Lonchura striata: one gene and its partners. The protein of the gene in region 1 interacts with the protein of each later gene in a pairwise test. Links are inferred from orthologs where the notes say so. Each region holds a gene or a part of one and is shown on either strand. Other genes may lie near its edges.

Region 1 (7,425 bases):
CTGCACCCACAGAGGAGGTGCCAGGCAGGGCAGGCAGGTGGCCCATCATCCCCTGAGCAGCGCTGAGCTGTGCCCCGCTCCCACAGGAGCACCCCGAGGACGGCCGTGCCAGCATCTACCGCTCCGTCATCATCAACACCTCCAAGGAAATGATGTGCTTCAGCGACTTCCCCATCCCTGAGGACTTCCCCAACTACATGCACAACTCCAAGATCATGGAGTACTTCCGCATGTACGCCCAGCACTTCGACCTGCTCCGCCACATCCACTTCAGGGTGAGGGCTGGGGCAAGGGGGAGGTGGCAGCGGGAACGGGGGCACAGGGTGCCTGACACCGCTCCCCTGCGCCCAGACCAGCGTGTGCCGCGTGTCCAAGCGCCCCGACTTCGCCAGCAGCGGGCAGTGGGAGGTGGTGACGGAGAGCGAGGGGCAGCAGGAGGCGGCCGTCTTCGACGCCGTGCTGGTGTGCAGTGGGCACCACACCGACGCTCATCTCCCGCTCAGTTCCTTCCCAGGTACTGCCTGTGGGCTGCTCGCCTGCTCCCTGACATCCCTAAATGCCTCTGCAGTTTTACCACACCAGGGGGGATTGCATGAGTGTCCCAAGCATCCTGCTGGCAGATACCACCACTGCCAGCGTGCCTCTCCCACCTGAGACAGGCTCCCTCTCCATGCTGCTGGCCAAGCAGCTGCTGGGCCCTCCAGCTCCTCACCAAGGCTGGAGAGCTCAGCACTGGTGGTGGTCTTGCCTCTGGGTTCCAGGAGAAAATGCCTGAAGAGCTTTCAGCTGTGGAGACCCTCTTTGGCTAGGGAACAAGTTGAAGCACACTGTCACCAGGGTCTGGCAAGGTGGCACAAACCCTGGTTATTGCTCTACTGGCAATGCATGGCACCAGACAGGATCTGCAGCAGAATTTTGGGATGGAAGCATGGAATTCTCCAGTCCAAGCTCTGTTCCAAGCCAGGCTAGTCCCAAAGCCAGATCAGGATGCTCAGGGCTACACTGAGAATCCTCCATTTTGGTGATGCCACCACCTCTCTGGGCAGCCACCCCAGGGCTGCATAACTCCAGTTGGTCACACTGCTTCTAGCTTGTTCCCAAAACACACCACCAATCTGAACAAGGGGCAGCCGCCCTCTGCTCCACAAGCCAGCCCAGCATGGCTTCCCTCTCTCTTCCAGGGCTGGAAAAGTTTGAGGGCTGGTACCTGCACAGCCGCGACTACAAGAACCCTCAGCCCTTTTTGGGAAAACGGGTGATTGTGGTTGGCGTTGGGAATTCAGGCATCGATATCGCAGTGGAGCTGAGCCACACAGCCAAGCAGGTGTGCTGGGAGAGCTCACAGGAATGGGACCCCAGAGGGCACTGAGCATCACCTTCCATCCCCTGTGGGCTCCCTAACCTCCAGCACCTGGCACAAGCACCCTGTCCCCTCTCTGTGGGGGTGGCTATGGTGGTCCCAGCAGCTGTGCTGGCTTCTCTGTCTCTGGAGCACAGCAGGGGCCCAGCCCGGTCTGAGCATGCTGCCATGCCACCACCTCCGTTCTCCTTCCTTCCAGGTTTTCCTCAGCACCAGGCGTGGGTCCTGGGTGCTGCACCGGGTGGGAGACAGCGGGTACCCCTTTGATTTCAGCTACATCAACCGCTTCACGCAGCTCCTCCAGAACCTGCTGCCAAGTATCATCAGTTTCTTCCTGGAGCGGAAGCTGAATGCCCGCTTTGACCACACGCTCTATGGCCTAAAGCCCAAGCACAGGTGAGCACCCCAGCAGCACCCTGGGTACCTGCTCCAGCAATGCCCATCCCCCTGCCAGGGCCTGAACGAGGTCTGTGTGTGCCTTCCAGGATCTTTCACCAGCACCCAACCGTCAACGACGACCTGCCCAACCGCATCATTTCGGGCAGGGTGCAGGTGAAGCCGAACATCCAGGAGTTCACAGAGACATCTGCCATCTTTGAGGATGGCACCAGGGAAGATGTCGATGCCGTAGTTTTTGCCACAGGATACAGCTTCTCCTTCCCGTTCCTCGAGGGCTGTGTGAAGGTGGTGGAGAACCAGATTCCCCTCTACAAGTTCATGTTCCCCCCTGACTTGGAAAAGCCAACACTGGCTTTCATCGGCCTCATCCAGCCCCTAGGAGCCATCATGCCCATCTCAGAGCTCCAGTGTCGCTGGGCCACCCGTGTCTTCAAAGGTAAGTCAGGGCAGTTTGAGGGATGCAACTGGGCTCCCCCAGCCACGCCAAGACTGAGTTATTGCTGGTGGCATCCCCTCACATGCTGCCTCTCCACACTCATCTTTTTATTTTCCTTTTACTTCTTCATGAGGACAAAACCCTACTTTGCACTTTGCTACAACTCTTGCACTGTTCTTCTCTTGTGGGGGTCACTAACTGGTGCTGTTGCCTCCAACCACATTCTCCCTTTCCTTTCCTGCTGTTACTTTCTTTGCCCATGTCTCCCACTTTGCCCCTGACGCGATGACACATCCCAAAAGCCCCACGTGCAAACAGAGGCCAGGCTGGGCTGCAGAGCCATCCAGACTATGGCAGGAGCACAGCCCACCCTCCAGCTCCAGCCTCCTTTTGCCCAGGGCTGCAGGGCCTGCCGCCGCCCACTGACATGCTGGCCGAAATCACACAAACCAAGCAGAGAATGGCTGAGCGGTAAGGCCCCCGCGCAGCAGGGCCCTGCCACCCTTACCCCCGGCGCTCCCCCTGTCACACCCTCCTGCCCTCCCTCCCTCCCTGCCCGCAGGTACGTGAAGAGCCAGCGGCACACCATCCAGGTGGATTACATCCCTTACATGGACGAGCTCGCCTGCCAGCTGGGGGTCAAGCCCAACCTGCTCTCCCTGTTCCTCACGGACCCCAGGCTGGCCGTGGAGGTGGCCTTCGGTCCCTGCACGCCGTACCAGTACCGGCTGCGGGGCCCGGGCACGTGGGCAGGAGCCAGGGCCGCCATCCTCAGCCAGCAGCAGCGCGTGGTCCGGGCCCTGCAGCCGCGGGCCAGCCGCCGCCCTGCCCGCCCCAGCGCCGCGCCACACGTCCTCACAGTGCTCTTCAGCATCGGCATGATTGTGGCCACCCTCGTCTACGTCTCGCTCTGTCCTTAGCCTAAAGGGAAGGAGACAGCAGGTCCTGCTGGCAGCCTTCTCCGTTCCCCTTGGGCTTCTGTCTGTTGTGTCTCGCTAGCTATGCCAGAGCATGGAGGGAGCCATTCCTTGAAGGTGCAGCCGAAGCGATACGTGGAATAAATAAATAGACTCCACAACCTGGGGTAGTTATGAAGTGGGTATGTATTGCCAGTGCTTGGCACAAGTGAGATTGCTCTCCAAGACTTGTGCACTGAGCCTTGGTGTGACCCAAACCTTTATTCACAAAGGTGTTCCATATATAGTACATTAAAAACTTTTTTTATGCATAGTCAACCCCTGCCTTCGCCTGTCCTTGCCTCTCGTGCAATATAGGTCCATGCCCTTCTATGCATGTGTGGTTTGCTGTGGTGGTCCTGCCAGGTCTCTGGTGGTCTCTGAGGCTGAAGATCGAGGTCTTCCTCAAGGCTGAACTTTTGAACTCTTCTCTGCATATGTGCTTTCAGTCTTTTGGTGCTTATCTGAGTACCATCTGTCACTCTTGATAAGTTTGGAGACAGGAGCCTCTTTATCTAGATTCTTTGTATTTTCAGTCCTTTTTGTTATTGTTCTTTATGCAAGAAGCTTCATAATTTGCATTTTCTTATGCCCTTTTGTACCTTGGCAGAGGTTTCTTAAGTAAAAGGTTAAAATTCAACACATAACTCTACAAGCTCGAATATAAATGCTTAATTCATTTTGCTAACTTAAGTGAATTCCAAAAATCCCTGTTCCACAGCCTGGTCTGTTGAGCTTTCCCGCTGCGATACCACCAAGTGCGGTCATGGGCTGCTCTGGGAGCAGCTCCCCAAGCCCCGGCCCGGCAGCCCCAGGAGCTCTATGGGTCAGGTCACGGAGGTGGCCAGGAACTGGGAACAGGCCGCGGGGAGCGCAGTGCCGGGCCGCGGCACTCCGCGCTCCGTCCCGGGCAGCGCCCGGCCGCGGGCACCGGCCGCGGCCCTGCCCGCAGCGAACATGGCGGCCGCGGCCCTGCCCGCAGCGAACATGGCGGCCGCGGCCCTGCCCGCAGCGAACATGGCGGCCGCGGCCCTGCCCGCAGCGAACATGGCGGCCGCGGCCCTGCCCGCAGCGAACATGGCGGCCGCGGCCCTGCCCGCAGCGAACATGGCGGCCGCGGCCCTGCCCGCAGCGAACATGGCGGCCGCGGCCCTGCCCGCAGCGAACATGGCGGCCGCCCGGCGCGGGCCGCGGGGCGGGGGCGGGGCGCGGCCGCGGGGCGCGGCGGGGGCGGGTCAGAGCGCCCCGCAGCGGCCGGCGGGGGGTGGCGCCATCTTGGACGGAGGCGGAGAGCGGGGCGGCGGCGGCGGCGGCGGAGGCAGGTGGGGTCGGGCAGGGCCCGGGCCCGGGGACGGCGGGCGGGTGTGAGGGTGGGTGTGAGGGTGGCGGCTCCCCGGGCGCCGCTGCGGGAGGCGGTGGGTGAGGCGTGGCTGCGCGTCCCCGCGGTGTAGCGGTGCAGACCCCGCCCGGCAGCCTCCCGGGAGGGCCCGGCCCCTGCCGGCGTGTCCCGCTCCTCCCCCGGCCGCGGCAGACCCGCGGGTGCCCGTGGGCCGAGCCCGCCGTGAGAGCCCCGCTGCCGCCCCCGCCGGGCAGAGCCCCAGCCCCAGCCCCAGCCCCAGCCCTGCCTGCTCGGAGGGAGATTTTCCGCCCCCGCTTTCCCAGCTCATCCCCCTCACGGCGACCTCAGGGCTCAGCTCTGCTTCCCGTCTCCGAAAGAGGGAGATCCGGGCGGATCGGGCTTCCCTGGGCGGTGTCAGCCCGGCGAGGTGCTGGACCCTCAGAGCCCCGGGAATGCACTGCCGGTGCCGCTGGGCACAGCCCATCCCTCTGCGCACCTGCTTCGGGCTGCCTGCCCGTGCTTCCCAGCGCGGTCACTGGCCGCTTCCCGGGGAGGGAAACGGGCATAATTCACAAGTCATCTTCCACATGAGAAGCTGGGGCTGGCTGGAACCGAAGGGCCCTGGTGATGGGGCAGGCAGGCCCACCTTGCTGTGGGCTGTGGCTGGCAGGGGCTTGCTGCCAGACTGGGAGCGGATGTGCCAAGATACCGTGGAGGTTTGGTGGAGCTGTGGTGTGGGCAGCATTTCCATCCATTACTTGAGTGTACCTGTTTCACACCATCTCCTAATGCTCCAAGGGCTGGCCTGGATGCAGGAGGGTTTGAGCTGTAAAAGTTAATTCAGCAAAGCCAGGTATTGCAGACTGTGCACAAAGACCTGTCTGGGCACAGACCAGGTACCTGTGTGTGTGATGTCGGGGATTCAGGTGGCACACGGCAGACAGGAGCCACCACCTGGGATAAACCTCAGGGAGTGCTTGGAGAGCGTGACCTGTAAGGGACAGGGGGACTGGGGTTTTTTAGAGAAGAGAAAGGGAAGCTTCACACCTGTTAACACCTGCACATATCTCCCAGGTCTGTCCTGCTACAAGGGAAGTTCAGCCTTTCCCACCTTCCTCCCTGTAGATGAGAAGTAAGGGAGCCTTAGTGAAGATACTGGAGAGGAAACTCCTCAACAGCAGATCTGGTGGCACAGGGGCAGTTTTTGTGAGGAGCTGTCTGAGCCTCTGCAGAGCAGAGGGGGAAGGTGTCAGAGCAAGAGGTGTAGCTCATTTGACCTGGATCTTCAGGTATACTTGATCTGCCCTGAGAGGGGTGGGGGTATGGCTTAGCTGCCCACTTGAGCTGCCTTTTAGCCCTCAGGATTTAAGAAATACCATAGTAATTGCTCCATAATGTTCTAAAGCCTGGATTTGGCTGGCAGCCTCGCTTGGCACTCTTCATATAACTTGATCTTTTAAACAAACCTCCAAATGTCACAAGCAAGCACATGAAGCAAGGCTGGCTGTCTCCTTGCTTGCTCTGCAGAGCCCAAGGTAAGCTGTAAGCTGCAAAATAAGCCTGGAAGTGGGCAAAAACTCCAGTCCATCTTGGCTCCTGGAAAGAGGGTAAGGCCTGAAGAGTCCTGTGTAGCTTGTAGTGGCTTTGTTGTTTATCCTAAAAGGTGTGTAGTTGTTCATGGCTTGGTCAATTCTCCTGTTTTGCTTTCTCTGAGCTGGGTGAGACTGGGGATGGAGACCCAGCTTCAGCTGCAGAGGGACACTGAGGTGGCCAGAGCTGCCCTTCCCTCACCGTGTCACTCCAGACAGCTGGGCAGGTGCTGGCTAAGTCCCAACAAACGGTCCTCCTTGGTGTGCTGTGCTGCAGCTGACACAGTGACTTGCCTGGTGAATCATAAGTGAATGCTGCTGAGAGCTGAGCTTTTCGCAGACACCACAGCATTAGCCCTGCTCCTTGGACAAGCTCCAGCTTGGGCAATTCCATTCGGACGCTTTAAATGCTCCCTGCCGCCTTTGCAGGCACAAGGCTCTGCTCTTCTGCCTGCGAGCTCTTGGAGACGTGTTGGGGACTGTAAAACAGCTGCTACTTTCACTCTGTGGCTGTTTTCTTGCTGGGCTGTCTCTAGAGCCTGACTGCAGGACTCTGAAAGAGGCTCTGTTAACGCCAGGCAGTTGGTTTACCAATAATGGTTTGCTTTCTTTTTCCCGTCAGCTCTACTCTGTTGGCTGCCGAGGGCTGATGTGGGACGCAGGTGAAGTCATACTGGTTTTGGAATCTTAACAATTACGAGCTTAACTAGAATGATGGTTCTTAAGGATGTGGCTATAATTAGGTCAAGCTTTCTTGTTTGTTGATTTCCCATTCAGCTTCCAAACTTGGGAGTGGAAATGAATTTGGGGCCTTTTTTAGGATTGCTGTTCATCTCCACTGGCAAAGAACATTTGGGAGACAGCTCTTTTGCTTGCTGCCAGAGCCCGAGGGCAAAGGCAGGGTGTTGCTGTGTCTCCCTCCCAGGGGCTGCTGAGCTGTCATGGGGAACACCACCAGCGAGCGGGTGTCCGGGGAGCGCCATGGCTCCAAGTCCCACCGCTCGGACGGCTCCGGTGCCTCCCACCCCGCCAAGGAGCACCCGCACAAGATCATGGTGGGCAGCACTGACGACCCCAGCGTTTTCAGCTCCCATGACTCCAAGGTAGGGGCTGGCTGCTCCCTTCCCTGCCTGGCCTCCAGCACCTCAGCACACTGCCTGTGTAGGGCTATGCAGGGGGTCTCTGGGGAGCTGGGAGCCTGGAGGAGCTCTGTGGTGCTCCTGTGTGTGATGTGCAGGTGGGCTGGTAGAGGCCAGCTGTAGAGGCCAGCTGTGTGAATGTGTTCACAGTTGTCTCTCTGTCTCAGTCACATCTCTCTGGTCTTCTTTGCCCAGATTCCTGGGGAC
Region 2 (7,670 bases), on another chromosome or scaffold:
AAGGATCCCATGGACACGGCCAGCGTGGGACGCTCTGGAGAGCAGCGGGGCTCCTCCCCACAAGTGTCTGTTCCCCCTGAACTGTATTTATGTACCTGTGTAAGATACAGCCCTGCTTGTCTGGGCCAGCTCTGCCCGGGTGCTTGGTGTCCTTGTCCTGCCCGCAGCCTGGCAGCACCCCTGCCCCAGCCCTGATGCCGATGCCAGGATGGGATCCCGGTGCCCTCTAGTGCCCACGGGCACAGGCAGCTCCGTGGCCGCGTTCTCTGAGGAGGGAGGCGCCGGCCAAGCCGTGCCCGGGAGCTCCGGGGGCTGCGGGGCAGCTCCAGCCCACGGGACCCAGCTGTGGCCTCGGGGGTCCCTTCGTGGCACCGCGGGCTGAGCTCAGAGCCAGCAGTGGTGCCTGTCCCTGCTGCAGGGCTGCACCACGGCTCAGGGCACGCATCTTTCGGGTGCCCAGGACAGGTCTCACCCCACCCGGCTCCAGAGCAGGAGCTCCGGGGATGTGGCTTGGAGCCAGGGGAACACGGGGTGGGAAATGGAGACAAACTCGGTGCTCGCTGCTGGGGAGAGGACAGGGCTGCCAGCAGGAGCGTGCTCTGGTCGCTGCACGGAGCACTCACGGCCCTCGCAGGGAGCAGCGCTGACAGCCCGGCGATGCCGGGGGACATCAGGCGGCTCCAGCGGCTGGGCCGGCCGCGGCTTCCGGCAACAAACGCCCGTCTTTTACGTGTCTCCATTGCCCCAGGACCAGTCCGGGCAGGGGGACAGGCAGCCACACGGGGGACTTAGAGGTTAGGATCGGCCCGGCAGGAAGGGACGCTGAGGAAGGCGAAAGCCGCTCAATATTACAGAGCCCCCCTCACACAGACACACGACCGGAGCCGCGTCCGCCCCTCACAGGAAGCGGGGCGCCTGCGCTCAGCATTTATATTAACCCTGTCGGGCTGTGATTGGCTGAGGGCGGGAGGTGGCGGCGCCGGATTGGCAGGGAGCAGCAGCCCCTGCCGCGGGATTGGCTGGGGCTCCGCGCGGGCTGCCCCGCCCGAGCCTCCGGGGAACGCTGAGGGATCGCTCGGGAATCTCCGGAGCCGCTCGGGAATCTCCGGAACCGCTCGGGAGTTGCTCCGGGAGCGCTCCGGGATCCCCGGGAACCGCTCGGGGACCCCCGGGGGATGCTCACTCGGGGACCCCCGGGGGATGCTCACTCGGGGACCCCCGGGGGATGCTCACTCGGGGACCCCCGGGGGATGCTCACTCGGGGACCCCCGGGGGATGCTCACTCGGGGACCCCCGGGGGATGCTCACTCGGGGACCCCCGGGGGATGCTCACTCGGGGACCCCCGGGCCTTCTCCCCCCCGGCTCGGGCGTGGCCCCTCCATCTCCGAGGGTTGAAGCCCCGAGAAGGGGCCGGTGCTGCGCCCCCACCAACCCCGGTACCGAAGCGGGAGAACGAGCCCGAGGTGTCGGCACCGGCGCGTTTATTGCTCCGCTCCGCAGGGCCGGGGGCTCGCTCCGAGGCCGGGGGTGGCGGCAGGAACGGGTGCGGTGCCGGTGATGCCGTCCTGGGGAGGGGCTTCGGGGGGCTGCAGGGACGCCCCCGGCTCAGCGCAGCTGCAGGAGGAGCGCTGCCAGCACCCCCAGCGCCACGGCCAGGAGCGGGGGGCTGGCGCCGGGCGAGCTCCGGCCGCCGCTGACCGTGGCGTTCGCCGCGGCGGCATCTTGCGGAGCGAGCTCCTCCGCGTTCGCTTTCGTGTCCTTGGCCTGGCCGAGCGCCTGGCAAGGAAAACAGCGTCAGACATCCCTCCCCACAGCAGCGGTGAAAGCCCCGAGACCCCTCACGGGATGGGTCTGGGGGCACTGCGGCGCCCACGCTGCCCCTTCCCAGGCGGGACAAACAGCCTCCTGTCCCCTGGCAGGTTCCCTTCCCACTCCAGCTCTTGGCTTTGGGCTCGTCCCAAGGCAGGGAGGGAAGTGAGCTCTCCCTGGAGTCGCTGCCCTGCTGCTGACCCGGGGGGTTCAGAAATTAGGGGGGAAGTGGAAGCCAGGGAGTGGTGTCTGCTCCTCTGGCTGCCGCGAGGGAGTGGTGAGAAGGTGTCGGGCCGTGGCCCTGCAGAAGAAAAAGAGGGGTGGGGGTTGTGCGAGGAGCAGGGGGGACCCCCGAGCCCGGGCAGGGTGCAGTCGGTGTGTGAAATGCAGCACAGCCAGGGTGGCAAGCTCGGGGCAGTTTCTTTCCCTCTCTGACGCTGTCCTGGCTGCTGGAAAAGCGATGCCGTTTCCCACTGTGAAGCACACTGTCTTACACCCCTCCCCAGGGTCCCTCCCGAGATGGGAAAGGAGCAGGAACGAAGCCCAAAACTCTGCTCTGCCCCTTTGCCACACTCTTGTCCTTTTTGCCTGCTTTACAGAGGGGAAAATCCCAAAATCTACACGCACCCCGTGGAGCCAGCAGCAGGTCCCATCTGTGGGGAACTCCATGAGTGAAATAAGCACAGACAAATCTGGCATCGTTACCAACATGTAGGAGAAAAAAAACCATCCCAAAAGCTGCCTCAAAGTGCATCATGCTCCCCAAAAGCGCTGCTGGGTTCATTCCTGACACCCAGGAGAGCCCCATGTCCTCAGCCTGGCTCTCGACCCATGGAGCCCGCAGCAGGAAGGGCGATAACAACCAGAGGAAACCACAGGCGTGTGTCCAGCAGCCCCTCCAGCCCAGCATCCCCACAGCGGGCACGGCCAGGCTGGAAGATGGGCTGGAGAGCTCTGCCAGGGTTCCGGAGGTGAGCGGTGCCCTCAGGGCAAAGAAAGGCATGAAAAAAAGAACCGCATGGAAGAGTCGGGACCTGGCAGAGCGCAGCACAAATCCCTTGCTGAGACCACAGCGGTGCGAGGCAAAGAGAAAACCAAACACGGCGGTTTTCAGAGCTGCGGGCTCGTCCTTACCAGGCACAGGGCGAGCAGGGCGAGCAGGGCGAGCAGGCGGGCGCGCTGCAGGGGCGGCATGGCCGGGGCTCGGCGGGGCTCCGACACTTCCCGTGGCACTTCCCCGTTCGCCCCGAGCCTTTAAGCCCGGCGGGGGCACCGCGCACCCAATCGCGCCTCCCTTCCCCAGCAGCGGCGGGACCGGCGCGGTTTTGGGGAAGTCGCAGCTGCTGCCCGCGCTGCGAGGAAAAAGGTGCGGGCCGTGGATTTGGGATGTGCGGGCCGTGGATTTGGGATGCCCGGGACGTGGATTTGGGATGCCCGGGCCGTGGATTTGGGATGCCCGGGCCGTGGATTTGGGATGCCCGGGCCGTGGAGCTGCTCCTCCGCATCCCCTGGCGCCGGAGCAGCTCCCTGCTCCCTGGCACGGCAGTGATGAGTGACAGAGCAGGGAAATTTCAGCTGAATAGAGATAAAGTGGAGAAATGGGACAAAAGGGTGTAAAGGGATGAGCGCAGGATGCTAGCCATGGCGGGAAGCAGTGGAGAAATGGATAAAAGGATAAAAATAAAATTCCCCACTGCAGTGGGTGTTCTTTCAGAAGTAGGTGAAAAGAAAAAGTGCATCCCGAGTTAAAAAGTTGAAGGAAAGGCTGAAACCCCTCAGGTTCTGCTTCTCCCTGGGGCCTCTCTGTCCTCACACCCACCAAGGACTAAGAGTGACTGAAACCCTCCCTGGATCGGAGGGAGGGTTTGCAAATCGCAGCCCAGGTCAGAAGGAATAAACCTCCTTCCCTCCAGGTGGAGCTGGAGCCAAGGCATCCCTTGGGATTTCAGTTACAGATCCTAAATAAAGGGGGAAATGCTTCCTTTAATCCCCTAAAGCGGGAAATGCTTCCTTTAATCCCCCAGCTCCATCTGCTCACAGCAGATCTCCGAGCTCCCTCGCCCTGCAGCACAGGAAACGAAAGGATCTGGTTATTTTAAGATGGTTTGAAATGAATAAAGTCACTGGAACGTGCTGAGAACACACACCTGCTGTCTGGGTTCGTGCTGGTGAAGCACATCACGGTGAGCTCCCTGCAGCTCCCACCCTCAGCTGAGGGCTCTGCTGCAGAAAAGCTTCACCAAATTTGGCTCGGTTTGGCTCTTCGGGCAAGTAGAAATTACTTGAGCACAGCCAACCTCCCTGACAGTGTCCAAGGCCGGGCTGGACAGGGTTTGGAGCAATGTGGGACAGTGGGAGGTGTCCCTGCCCATGGCAGGGGGTGGGATGGGCTTTGGGGTCCCTGGAGCCCAAACCTGTCTGTGGTTCTGTGCACGCCCCATCAAAGGAGGTAAAACTGCGGGGACAATTGGCCTGTCCCACTCGCCTGCAGCTGGCGAGGCCGAGCTCTCCGGGTGGGATGGGGACACCCAGGAAAGGCTCCCGGGATGGGGACAGGAGCTGGGGCAGCTCAGGGCACCAGCGGGGCCCGGCTGAGGAAACAGGGACCGAGGGAGCAGGTGAGGGAATCGGGAGGAGCCCCAGGCCAGGCTGACGGGTGTGTGCGGAGGGGGGCTGAGGAGAAAAATGGATCCCGCTCCCGGTAATTCCCGGCGCCGGTGTCCCGGGAGAACGCGCGCGGTGCACGCTGGGAATTGTAGTTCCCAGGGAACTCCAGCGCCCACCACGTGACCAGCGCCGGACCAATCGCGGCCCGCCTCGCGTCGCCGTGGCAACCGGCTGTACACAAGATGGCGGCGGGGGGTGAGTTTCCAGACCAGGCCTGGGCCGAGGGGTCCCTGCAAGGCTCCCTCCGCTCCTGCTCCGGGGTCAGCACTGAAAACAACACGGAGGGTAAAGCCCCTGAGGGAGCTGGGAGTTCTGGCCCAGCAGCTTTTCGGTGACACCCCCGGCCAGACCCCTTCTGTGGCTGCCCTCCCGCACACACAACCAGAACCAAGGGATTTTTACCCGAAAAGTCCTCCCTGCTGTGGCAGACCAGGAACCCTGCTCACAGGTATTTGTGTTTTCAGGTGCAGCTCACCCTGACATGGAGCTCTCGTCTTCTCTGGCAGAAAAAATCTCTCTGTTGGAAAAAAAAATAGAGAAACAAGCACAAGAAATCCAGCTGCAGGTAAAAGTCAGCCTCTTGCTGAGGCTGCTCTGTCCTCTGCCACAGGAATTCCACCTCTCAGACCTTGTGTGGGCTCAGAGTCCATCTGTGGTCTGCTGTTAATTACCCAAATGAGCCCTTTACAAAGCAACAGAGCAGTGGGATCAGGCCTTGGGGTGGCAGAGGGGACAGTCCCTGCTGGGGCTTCTTGCAGCAGTGACTCTCAGCACCCTGGCACTGACATCAGCAGCTCTTTGGCTTCAGAATTAATTTTTTTTTCCCTCCTGTGATGGTACATGCCCCCTTTTTGTTTTCTGAAACAGCAGCTGCTCACACAGGAGAGTGGAACTGGAGCAGCCCTCTCTGCATCACTGACTGGAATAAATAAATACCCTTTAAAATCTTAGAATAAATACCTTTAAAATCTTAGAATAAATACCTCTTTCTGTTCAGATTGGATTTTTTAAGACGTGGCTGCAGAGATGCTGGTTTAGTTTCCATACCAGCCCCTCCCCGCAGGTCTGAGCAGGAGCACCTGGTGCAGAGGGAGGACGGGAGATGGGTCACCCACTCCTGGAGCTCTCCATTTATCCCAGCCCTCCTTTGAGGCTCATTAAGGGGTTTGTGGGGTGGTTCAGCCCTGCTGAGCCTTTGGGCAGCGCTGGGTGGGGGAGAGGAGCTGCAGCAGCCCTGATTGTGCCAGCTGTGCCTGGAGGGGCTGAGCCCAGAACTGACCCAGCCCTTTGTTCTGCCCCTGAAGGCCGGGAGGATCGCCGAGCTCGAGGAGAAGATAAAGACTCTTCAGGAAGGGGAAGGTAAAATCGTTCTGCAGCTCTGGGCAGGGCAGCAGAGCAAGGCATTTGTGTCTGTTACTCTGCTGCAAAACATCCTGAGCTGTTTGTGTGGGTTTCGGAGCCTCCACGGCTGCGAAGCCAACCGCAGGCTGGGCAGGAGTGCAGTAAACACTGCCGAGTTCAAGCAGCAGGAAGGCAGCTCCTCGCAGCTGGGAGCAGCCAAACACACCCCTGGAGTCTCCACAGGACTCCAGCCCAGCAGAACTCGAGATTGAGCCCAGCTTGCAGTGGCTCACAGGGGTGTTTTCCCCTGCATCCAGCAGCTTTCCCAGCCCCAGCCGGAGCCCACAGACGTTTCCTGCAGGGCTGAACAGCCTGCTGTGTGCAGGGCTGTGGTGAGCTCTCCATTTCCTGAGCACAGAGCTCAAATGTGGCTGTCAAACCACAGACACGAGCTCTGCTCCTGCTGCTGCACCGTGCTGCCACCCAGCCAAGATTCCAGGATCCAGCTGCAGCAGGCACCTGCTCCTTTTGGGCTCCTTAGGGCTGAGCTGAGCAAGTTCCACTGTAGGCCTGCCAACAGCACCTCTCACATCAGCTCCCATGGCTTTAAATTCCCCAGGCTTGTTCACAACTGTCTTTTGGCCTGCCAGCAGCCTTGTCAAACCACTGCAGGGTGAATTGTCCCCTTCAGCCCCTGTGTCCCACGGGTGGGAGTTCACTGAGCACAGGCAGGTGCTGCTGGGGCCCTGCCCTGTGTGGCACAGGTGATCCACAGCTTGAGATCTTCAGAGGAACGTCAGCTTTTCTCTTACAGATGCTTCTGACTCGCCCAGCACAGAACTGGAAGCGAGGTGCCTTCGGCTGCAGAGCCAGGTCTGGGAGATGGAGGTGAGGCTGCTCTGCCTGCCCTGAGCCAGCTCTCCTGTGGTTTGGGGTCACTGCACTCCCAGTTTGGCCTTTTCCAAGCTGCCCCTTTGGTCCTCACAACCCTTCTCCTCTGAGAAAAGGGAGCAGGTTGGATGTGAGCAGCACCTGGGCCTCCTGTGAGCTTCATCCTGATTGCCAGGGCTGCAGGAATGCCCAGCTCCTGCAGCCTTGGGAGGTTCCCCTGGCACTACAATCTCCTCCCTTTGCCCTGCTGCTGATGGAGCTGCTATCACTGCCCTGCCAGGAAGTCTGTCTGCCAGGGCCAAGACAAACCTGTTCCACCTCCCTCTGTGCCTCCCACAGCCACAGCTGACCCCTCTCGGGCTCCCTTTTCCAGTTCTCTGGAGCTCTGGGCACCAAAGCCCACCCGACTCTGCTCTTGCAGCGGTTCCTGAGCGACTACGGCCTGGTGTGGGTTGGAGAGGCACGGCACCAGCTGGGAGACACAGAACCACTCCAGGAGGAGGAGCTGCCAGCAGGGAGCCCCTGCAGGCCGGGTAAACCTCTGTGAGATCCCAGCTCCACTCTGGGCTGAAGCTGCTAGCCCAGCTCCCCCCGTGTGCTCAGAGAAGGGGGAGTAGAAAAGCATCAAAACCTCAGGATTTGGGTCTTCAGAATTTGGGATCCTGGGCCAAGATCTTCACGTCGATCCCTCTCAGGGACACAGACGTGGAGCAGTCTAACAGGAGCTCAGCAGAAGGTTTGGTTTTATATCCCTGTGTTTTGTACACCCTTCTGGGGGGAGAACCTGATGGCTCAGCCCTTCAGGAGGAGCAGCTGTCTCCTGCAGAATTCACAAACCACATTTGAGGCTTGGTTGATCTCATGACATTGACACAGAGTGGGTGGAAAATGGAATCAGGTGCTTTGTGTACACAGGAGCTGTAGTAACTTACCCACAGAGCCTGGCTCCATCAGGGAGTGT
Region 3 (7,711 bases), on another chromosome or scaffold:
CGGGTGTGCCAAGGCAGGCGCAGGATCCTGTCCCCAGCCGCCAGCCGGGCCGCTGTGCGCGCTGCGGGTGGGATCCATCCCCGTCACTGTCCCGGAGCCCTCTGGGATCCCGGCTCTGCACAGCGACGCGCCTGCAGCGTGGGGAGTGGGGAATGTGGGGCCGCCCCCACATCCCAGCACTGTCCAGGAGCGCTGGGGGCCAGTGGGTGTCATGAGCTGCGCCATTCACAGCGTCCTCCCCTCCCCTGGACTCAGGGGTGTGGTGCCCTGGCTCCATCCCAGCGCCCCTCCTGCAGGGTAGGGGATGGATGGATGGACGGATGGATGGCCCCAATCTCCAGTCTGGGTAACTCCTGGAGAGCCTGGGGTGGATGGACACAGGGTGGGTGTGCACAGGCTCCCATCTCCATTCTGGTGCACCTCCTGGAGAGGCTGGGGTGGGAGAATGCGGGACCCCACCAACATCCAGGGAGCGCAGGGTGAATAGACAAGGGATGGATGGGCATGGATGGGTGGGTGGATGCACACGGGGTGGGTGCACATGGAATAAGCGGATGGATGGATGGATGATGGATGGACATGGATGGATGGATGGACACGAATGGATGCACATGTGTGGAATGGGTGGATGTGAGGTAGATGGACAGGACGGAATGAGTAAGCTCAGGATGGATGGACACAAACGGGACGGATGGACACGGTCTCCCCCCGCCCCCCAGGACCCCTCCCTGCCCCGTCCTGCAGGGCTTTGCCGGGGCTGCCCCTCGGCCGGGGAAGGTCCGGCGGGGCCCAGGGGGCTCCGGGGGAGGGGCTGGCCAGGGGGCCCAGAGGGGGCTCGGGGGAGGGTCTGGGCGGGCGCGGGGGCGGCTCCGGAGGCGGCGGCGGCTCCGGGTGCGGGAATGTTTGTGCAGCTGGAGCCGATTATGGGGCGGGAGCGGGAGGGGGGAGGGGGGCGAGGGGGTCGTGCAAGGGGGAGAGGGATGTGCAGGGAGAGCAGAGCGTGTGTGCGGGGGGCTCCCCACCTGTGTGGAGCGTGTGTGGAGGGTCCCTAGGCAGCCCCCTGCCCACATGGGGTGCCACCCACTCCGACCTGTCCCGTCACAGGCACCCCGCGTGTGCCCCCACCCCGCACGTGTGCGCAAACCCCACACACCGCGGACACGCCGGGGACACAACAGGGACACAGCAGGGACACAACAGGGACATGCCAGTGACACATGAGGGACACGCGAGGGACACAGCAGGGACACAGCAGGGACATGCGAGGGACACGCGAGGGACACGCCAGGGACACACAAGGGACACACCAGCGACATGTGAGGGACACGCCAGGGACATGCCAGGGACACGCCAGGGACACAGCAGGGACACAGCAGGGACACAGCAGGGACACACCAGGGATACACAAGGGACACGCCAGGGACACACCAGCGACATGTGAGGGACACGCCAGGGACATGCAAGGGACACACAAGGGACACAGCAGGGACACGTTCACACCCTGGGGCTGGGGGTGCCCCTCAGGGGCTGCGGGGTCGCTCCCCCCACACTGGGGATCCCCAGCTCGGTCCCAGTGGGCAGCTCCGGTGCCTGTGCTCACCCCGGTCGCTGCTGACGCCCTGAAGGCTCTCGGGGGACGCAGAGGTCCCGTGGGTTGTCCCTGCCCTGTCTGGGTGGGTGAAGGCACCACCACTGCAGGGACCTTGGGGGTGCCCCCTCATCCGTGCCCACCTCGGCCCCCCATATCCGGCTCTGATTGCCCCTCTGGAAATGGATCAGGGAGAAACCAGTGACCGGGGAAGGAGGGATGGCACCCTCAGAACAGAAAATTGGGGTGCTCCCCCACGGCACCTGGGGCCACCCCAAAACCCAGAATGCCTCCATCAGGGTTTAACCCCTGCACTGCCAGGATCACAACACTGCCTGATCCCACTCCCTGTTTCCATTGCTTTTACCCCAGAACAGCTGGTTCAGGTTGGAGAAATTATTCCCTTGGCCCAATCTCCCACTTTTATTCATTATTCATTATTTTTATTAGTTGTTGCCATTATTATGGCATGGCAAATGACCTGCTTGCCTTTGTCTGCCTCCTCTGGGAAGGGAGGGATGATGATGGATGGATGGATGATGGATGATGGATGATGGATGGATGGATGGATGGATGGATGATGGATGATGGATGATGGATGGATGGATGGATGGATGGATGGATGGATGGATAGATGGATGGCAGGTATGGATGGATGGATGGATGGCAGGTATGGATGGATGGATAGATGATGGATGGATGATGGATGGATGATGGATGGATGGCAGGTATGGATGGATGGATGGATGGCAGGTATGGATGGATGGATAGATGATGGATGGATGGATGGATGGATAGATGGATGGCAGGTATGGATGGATGGATGGATGGCAGGTATGGATGGATGGATAGATGATGGAAGGATGATGGATGGATGGATGGATGGATGGATGGATGGATGGATAGATGGATGGCAGGTATGGATGGATGGAAGGATGGATGATGGATGGAAGGATGGATGGAAGGATGGATGGATGGATGGATGGATGGATGGATGGATGGATGGCAGGTATGGATGGATGGATGGATGGCAGGTATGGATGGATGGATAGATGATGGATGGATGATGGATGGATGATGGATGGATGGATGGATGGATGGATGGATGGATGATGGATGATGGATGATGGATGGATGGATGGATGGATGGATGGAAGGATGGATGATGGATGGAAGGATGGATGGAAGGATGGATGGATGGATGGATGGATGGATGGCAGGTATGGATGGATGGATGGATGGCAGGTATGGATGGATGGATGGATGGATGGATGGTGGAGGGACAGGTGGACAGACAGACTGGGTCTCTGACTGTACCACCCTCTACCACCACACTCCTCCTGTGCCCACTGGGTTTCAGGGGTGAATGTGGGTTTCAAAACTTGTTTAATGTTCTCTTTTGGAGTGGGTTCATTAAATCCAGTGTAAATTAAGTTCAGTGTCGGGATGGGAAGACTCTCCAGAACGCCAAGATTTGACTGGTGCACACAGGCTCCTGCTCATGGACCCCAAGGTTCACCCACAGGTCCCTAGCTTTTCCTTCATCAAAATCCCCGCTCTATTACCCTCTGAACCCTCCTTTTAGGTATTTTAGGCATCATCTCCCCATTTTTGAGAGTTTTCTTATGTGGTATTTGGAGGGCTGGGTCCATTCCGGTGCTGCAGGATCTGGCTGCCATCAGTGTGATGAGCTGGGGTGGGTGGGTCAGGTCTCAGTGCCAGGGATCCCACTGGCTGCTCTCCTGGCTTTTCCCACTGCAGGGAGGCAGAGGAGGAGGTTGAACATCCCCCTCAGCCCCCCAGTTCCACAGAGACACTCCTGACCCATTAAACTTCATCTGCTGGGCACCAAAACGTGGCTGCTGAAGGGGGCCTCAGTCGCTGCTTCAGAGCCACCTCCTGTGGCTGTCCCCAGGCTGGCACCGCCTGGGGCATCCCACAGTGACATTGGGATCCGAGAGTGACCTTGGGATCTCACGGTGAGATTGGGATCCCACACTGACATGACTTCCCAGGAGCAGCCAGGGGCAGGGTTTTGGTTTTATTTCCCGTTTAATATAAAGCGGACTCTTTCAGGCATTAAATTGGCTTTTCCAGCGGCAGAAAGGGGCCGGTCTGGGGCTGCTCGTCCGGGCGTGCGGGGGACACAGCAGGACGGGCTTGGCCGTGGGTGGGTTTGGGGAGCTCAGCGGTGATGTGGGGGCTGTTTTCTGAGCAGCGGAGGGTGCAAGGCCGGGTTTCCCCCCAGCCCAGCCCCTGCTGCGGGCAGCGCTCCTGGAGCAGGAAAAGGGGCCGGGAGGGGAGGGGGCAGCACCGGGAACACAACGGGAAGGACCGGTCCCACCGAGTGCGGCCCGGTCGGGCACTGGGAGCGGGACAGCGTCCCCCTGGTGGGGTGGGGACAGGATCCGCCTCGGGGACACGGGGACAGACTCCTCCACAGGTGCCATGGCCCTGCTGGGCTCTCTTCCCTCCCCGAAGCTGTCCGGGGCGCTGAGGGGGCCGCGGGGATGTGGATCCTCGGGGACCCCCAGCACCGGACCCACGGCTGGGGGATGCTCCGGGCGGGACCCCGCACGCCCCCTCCCAGCCCCAGCGGCCTTCCCGGTGCCGCGGACCCCGCAGAGTCCCGCTCGGGGCCCGGGACCCGGCGCCCCCCGCTCCTTCCCGGGGACGCGACCGGCGCGGGCCCGGGAGACACCGCGGCCCGGGACACGCCCACTAATGACGTCACCCTTCCCATAGACACGCCCACGTCACGCGGCTTCCCGCCTATTTATAGGCCACGCCCCTCCAGGGACCACGCCCCTCCCGTGCCCTCGCGCCATTTTTCTGCCACGCCCCCGGCCAAGGCCACGCCCTAAGCCCCGCCCCTCACACGTCACCGCCGAGTCCCGCTGTCCCGCCCCGCCCCCTCAGGCCACGCCCACCCACCCGACACAGCTCATCAGGCCACGCCTCCGTCCCGCCCCGCCCTCAGCCGGGACCGCGCCCCGTGCCCCGGCGCAGGCGTCGTGCCGCAAACCCCGCCCCCAGCCCCGCCCCTCCGCAGGCCCCGCCCCTGCACCGCCCGCGCGCCGGGACTGCAGTTCCCAGCATGCCGCGCGCGCGGAAGGGGCGTGGCCGCGGCGCCGCTTCCGGGCTGGCGGCGAGGCGGAGGAGCGGCAAGATGGCGGCGGCGGCGGTGCTGGAGCTGCAGCGCGCGCAGTCCCTGCTCTCCACCGACCGCGAGGCCTCCATCGGCATCCTGCACTCCATCGGTGAGCGCCGGCCCGCCGCCCGCGCCGCCCGCGCCCCGCCGCCCCCCGCGGCGCGCCGAGCCCCGCGCCGCCGCCGCTGCTGACTCACCGTGCGCGCCCGGCGGGAGCGCGGCCTGGGCCCGGCCCCGCGGCACTGCACCGCGCCGGGACGGCACCGGCGGCGGCCCCCGCGCGTGGGGGCACGGGCGGCGGGAGCTGTCGCTGCGGGGCGGAGCGGGGGCCGCGCTCCGGGAGCCGGCGGCGGGGCCGGTGCCCGGTGCGTGTCCGCGGAGCCGCTCCGAGCAGCGCCGGAGCCGGGCCGGCCGCTCCTCCCCGTCCGGCTGGAACGAGCCTGCCGGCCCGGGACCCCCGATCGGCGCGCGCGGGGCCGCGGCGGTGCCGGTAGCGCGGGGCGTCGGGGCGGGTCGCGGCGGTTTGGGGCGCGGTGTCACGGCCCGGGCCGGGCCGGCAGCGATGGTGGCTCCCGCAGCGCCCGTTCCGCCGCGGCCGGAGGAGCTCGCTGGCGTTCGCTTCTCCGGCTCCGTCGGGCCGCGCTGCCGCGGACGGGTCGGTGCTGTGGGCACCCCGAGCGGGCCGGGCCGCGCTGCCCGCGGACCGCTGTGGGAAGCAGGGGTTCTTGGTTCTGCTGCCGTGCCCTGCTGTCACCCGCTGTGTCGGGAGTTTTCCGAGCGTCCCGTTAGCCCGGAGGTGCTGTCGGAGCTCTCGGTGTGCTCGGTGCTCAGCGGGAGCTGCCGCTCTCGGGGTCGGGCTCAGTCAGGGCTCAGCCCGTGGTGTGGGTGGGGAGCATCAGGAGTGGCCCAGACAATGTTGCTGTGATACTTTTCTCTTGGAGATCAAAGTTCCCTCGCTTTTGGTAGGGAATTGCAGGGGATGAGAGCTGCAGTTGCAGTTCCCTAGAGGCGGGATTTGGGCTCTGTTTGTGTGCAGGCTGGAGCAGCTCCCTGTGCTGGGGTGGTGGCAGGGAGGGAAGGGCCCTGCGTGGTGGATAACTCGCACGGAGCTGGTGCTGTGCTCGAATTGTGCTGCTGTCGCTTGTTCTTGATCTGCCTCAGAGCAGAGTCACTCCCTGGAGCAGAGGGTGGTGGCACTGCCAGGACTCGGCACTGGCAGGTGAGACACCAAAGTGGGGAGAGGTGTACCCACCTCACTTTGCTTGTGCTGCACTTTGTCCACGGGATCTCAGCTTCATACACAAAGCAGCAACATCAGCAATCCCAGAGTGGAGTGTCCAACCTCAGAAATGCCATTCAATGTCTCTTATTTGGTCCTGTGGCTCCAGTATGCTCTGGTGTGTGGTGTTGGTTCTGAGTGATACTTGCATAGCTGGACAAGCTGAGATTGTTCAGACCTGGAGCTGGAGTGAGTAGGGGGGAGTCTGTGGGCTAGTAAAGCCCCTGTGGAGCACCGACAAAGCACTGCAAACTTCCCTGCACTGGATTTAAACTTCCCAGACCTCCTGGGCTAGGCTGAGCTCCCTGGTGCCTGTTGGAGCAGGTCCTGCTCTGGGCACTTCTCCAGGAGCTGACCAGCAGGGATGGTTTTCCACCTGAAACACCACTAAAGGCAACTTTCCTGCTCTTTTTCTTCCCAGTGAAACGTGATGTCCAGGAAAACGATGAGGAAGCAGTGCAAGTCAAAGAGCAGAGCATCCTGGAGTTGGGGTCACTGCTGGCCAAGACTGGGCAGGCAGAAGGTGAGCCTGAAATCAGGAATTGAGGTAACAGGCAGCAGATCCTGCAGCCAATGCATTTAGTCTCCTTACTTAGTGGTATAGCTGGAAAAACAGCTTTTGGCAGGCAATTTTCTCTCCGAGACAGGACAGAAACTAAAAATCAAATAAAGAACATAAATATCAATCTGGTGTTGCTTGGCCCAGTGTTCCAAACGATGCACAGTTCAGTCTGTGGGGCTGTTTCAGTGTGGGTGACTAAAGTTTTACTTAGTTCTTTTGTTTGAGATGAGAGGTGTCTCCTGGATGGTTTCAAACAGGAAAGTTTGTCCCATGAAATTCTCTCTTACCCGCAGCTCCTCTCACAATCAATTGATTTATCTGCTGGCCATTACATCAGCAGCCCCTGTCCAGCTCTGCAGGGGACAGTCCCTCTATTGTGAGTGTGTGAGGGGACAGGGATGGAGTCGAGTTCTCTGTTCAGTGATGATTTTGAGTCTTTCCTCTCTCCTGTTTCCTGGAGAGCTCAAGGCAGCAGTTGGTTGTTTTGCAGTCTAGGGCTGTGTTTTATTCCTGGAGCATGTCAGGACTCTCTGTGTCTGTGCCCAGAGTGTTCTGGGCTTGGGCTGCAGCCCTGGGCAGTGGAAATGTTTACTTGCAAGTCTGGCACAGGGTGAGGAAAGCACCCAGCAGCAGGTTCAGTCCCACTGGAAGGGGCCTGACTTCAGAATAGCTCATGGAAAGTTCCTGGCTGTTCAGCCACAGCTCCAGGTCACAGTTTGTATCTATTGTGAAATGTCCCTTGGTGTCCCACTGGGCTTGGGAAGCTCCCGTTGGGCTGGGCCATGTCACTGCCCTGGGCTGGAATGAGCATTCCAGCCCTGATCCACTGTGGATGGCACTTGGGCAGGGCTGGGGACAGTGGGTGACTGGTCCTGAGAGGTGCTGTTCTTGTCACCTCGCTCAGGTGTTCACCTCTTACTCCTGCTGGGGGCTGCTTTTAGAGTCTGTGGGGAAAAATAAACCCCTCCAGCACAGGGTTTTCCTGCTCCTGCAGGACAGAGGAAGCTGCTGGGCAAGTGTCCCTTTCCTGGCTGAAGTCAGGAGCTCAGTGTGGGTGTCTGTGCTGTGCCAGTGCCCTTTGCACCCTGGTGCTTGCTCACCAGAGATCACCAAACATGGCTGGGCCCTGCA

What was found. The genes of interacting proteins can lie anywhere in the genome.
Region 2: the proteins of PRKAB2 (region 1) and UBXN11 interact in binary tests that used the Homo sapiens proteins (3 or more experiments, as listed by UniProt). The link is inferred for Lonchura striata from reciprocal best matches to the Homo sapiens genes PRKAB2 and UBXN11.
Region 3: the proteins of PRKAB2 (region 1) and PSMD11 interact in binary tests that used the Homo sapiens proteins (3 or more experiments, as listed by UniProt). The link is inferred for Lonchura striata from reciprocal best matches to the Homo sapiens genes PRKAB2 and PSMD11.

The regions. Positions count from the first base shown.
Region 1 is NC_134611.1:143,042-150,466, reverse strand, and holds the start of PRKAB2 (5'-AMP-activated protein kinase subunit beta-2), read left to right. Parts: upstream 1-4,411; 5' UTR 4,412-4,473; intron 4,474-4,774; exon of another isoform or gene 4,775-6,660; intron 6,661-6,717; exon of another isoform or gene 6,718-6,741; intron 6,742-7,004; 5' UTR 7,005-7,020; coding exon 7,021-7,182; intron 7,183-7,413; coding exon 7,414-7,425. Other genes in the region: flavin-containing monooxygenase 5-like, read left to right, coding at 87-275, 352-514, 1,182-1,324, 1,560-1,756, 1,846-2,195, 2,594-2,666, 2,758-3,115. UniProt on the Homo sapiens protein: Non-catalytic subunit of AMP-activated protein kinase (AMPK), an energy sensor protein kinase that plays a key role in regulating cellular energy metabolism.
Region 2 is NC_134628.1:342,309-349,978, forward strand, and holds the start of UBXN11 (UBX domain-containing protein 11), read left to right. Parts: upstream 1-4,659; coding exon 4,660-4,762; intron 4,763-4,941; coding exon 4,942-5,042; intron 5,043-5,781; coding exon 5,782-5,836; intron 5,837-6,632; coding exon 6,633-6,706; intron 6,707-7,130; coding exon 7,131-7,242; intron 7,243-7,670. UniProt on the Homo sapiens protein: May be involved in the reorganization of actin cytoskeleton mediated by RND1, RND2 and RND3. Promotes RHOA activation mediated by GNA12 and GNA13.
Region 3 is NC_134627.1:2,666,955-2,674,665, forward strand, and holds the start of PSMD11 (26S proteasome non-ATPase regulatory subunit 11), read left to right. Parts: upstream 1-4,700; 5' UTR 4,701-4,757; coding exon 4,758-4,848; intron 4,849-6,439; coding exon 6,440-6,541; intron 6,542-7,711.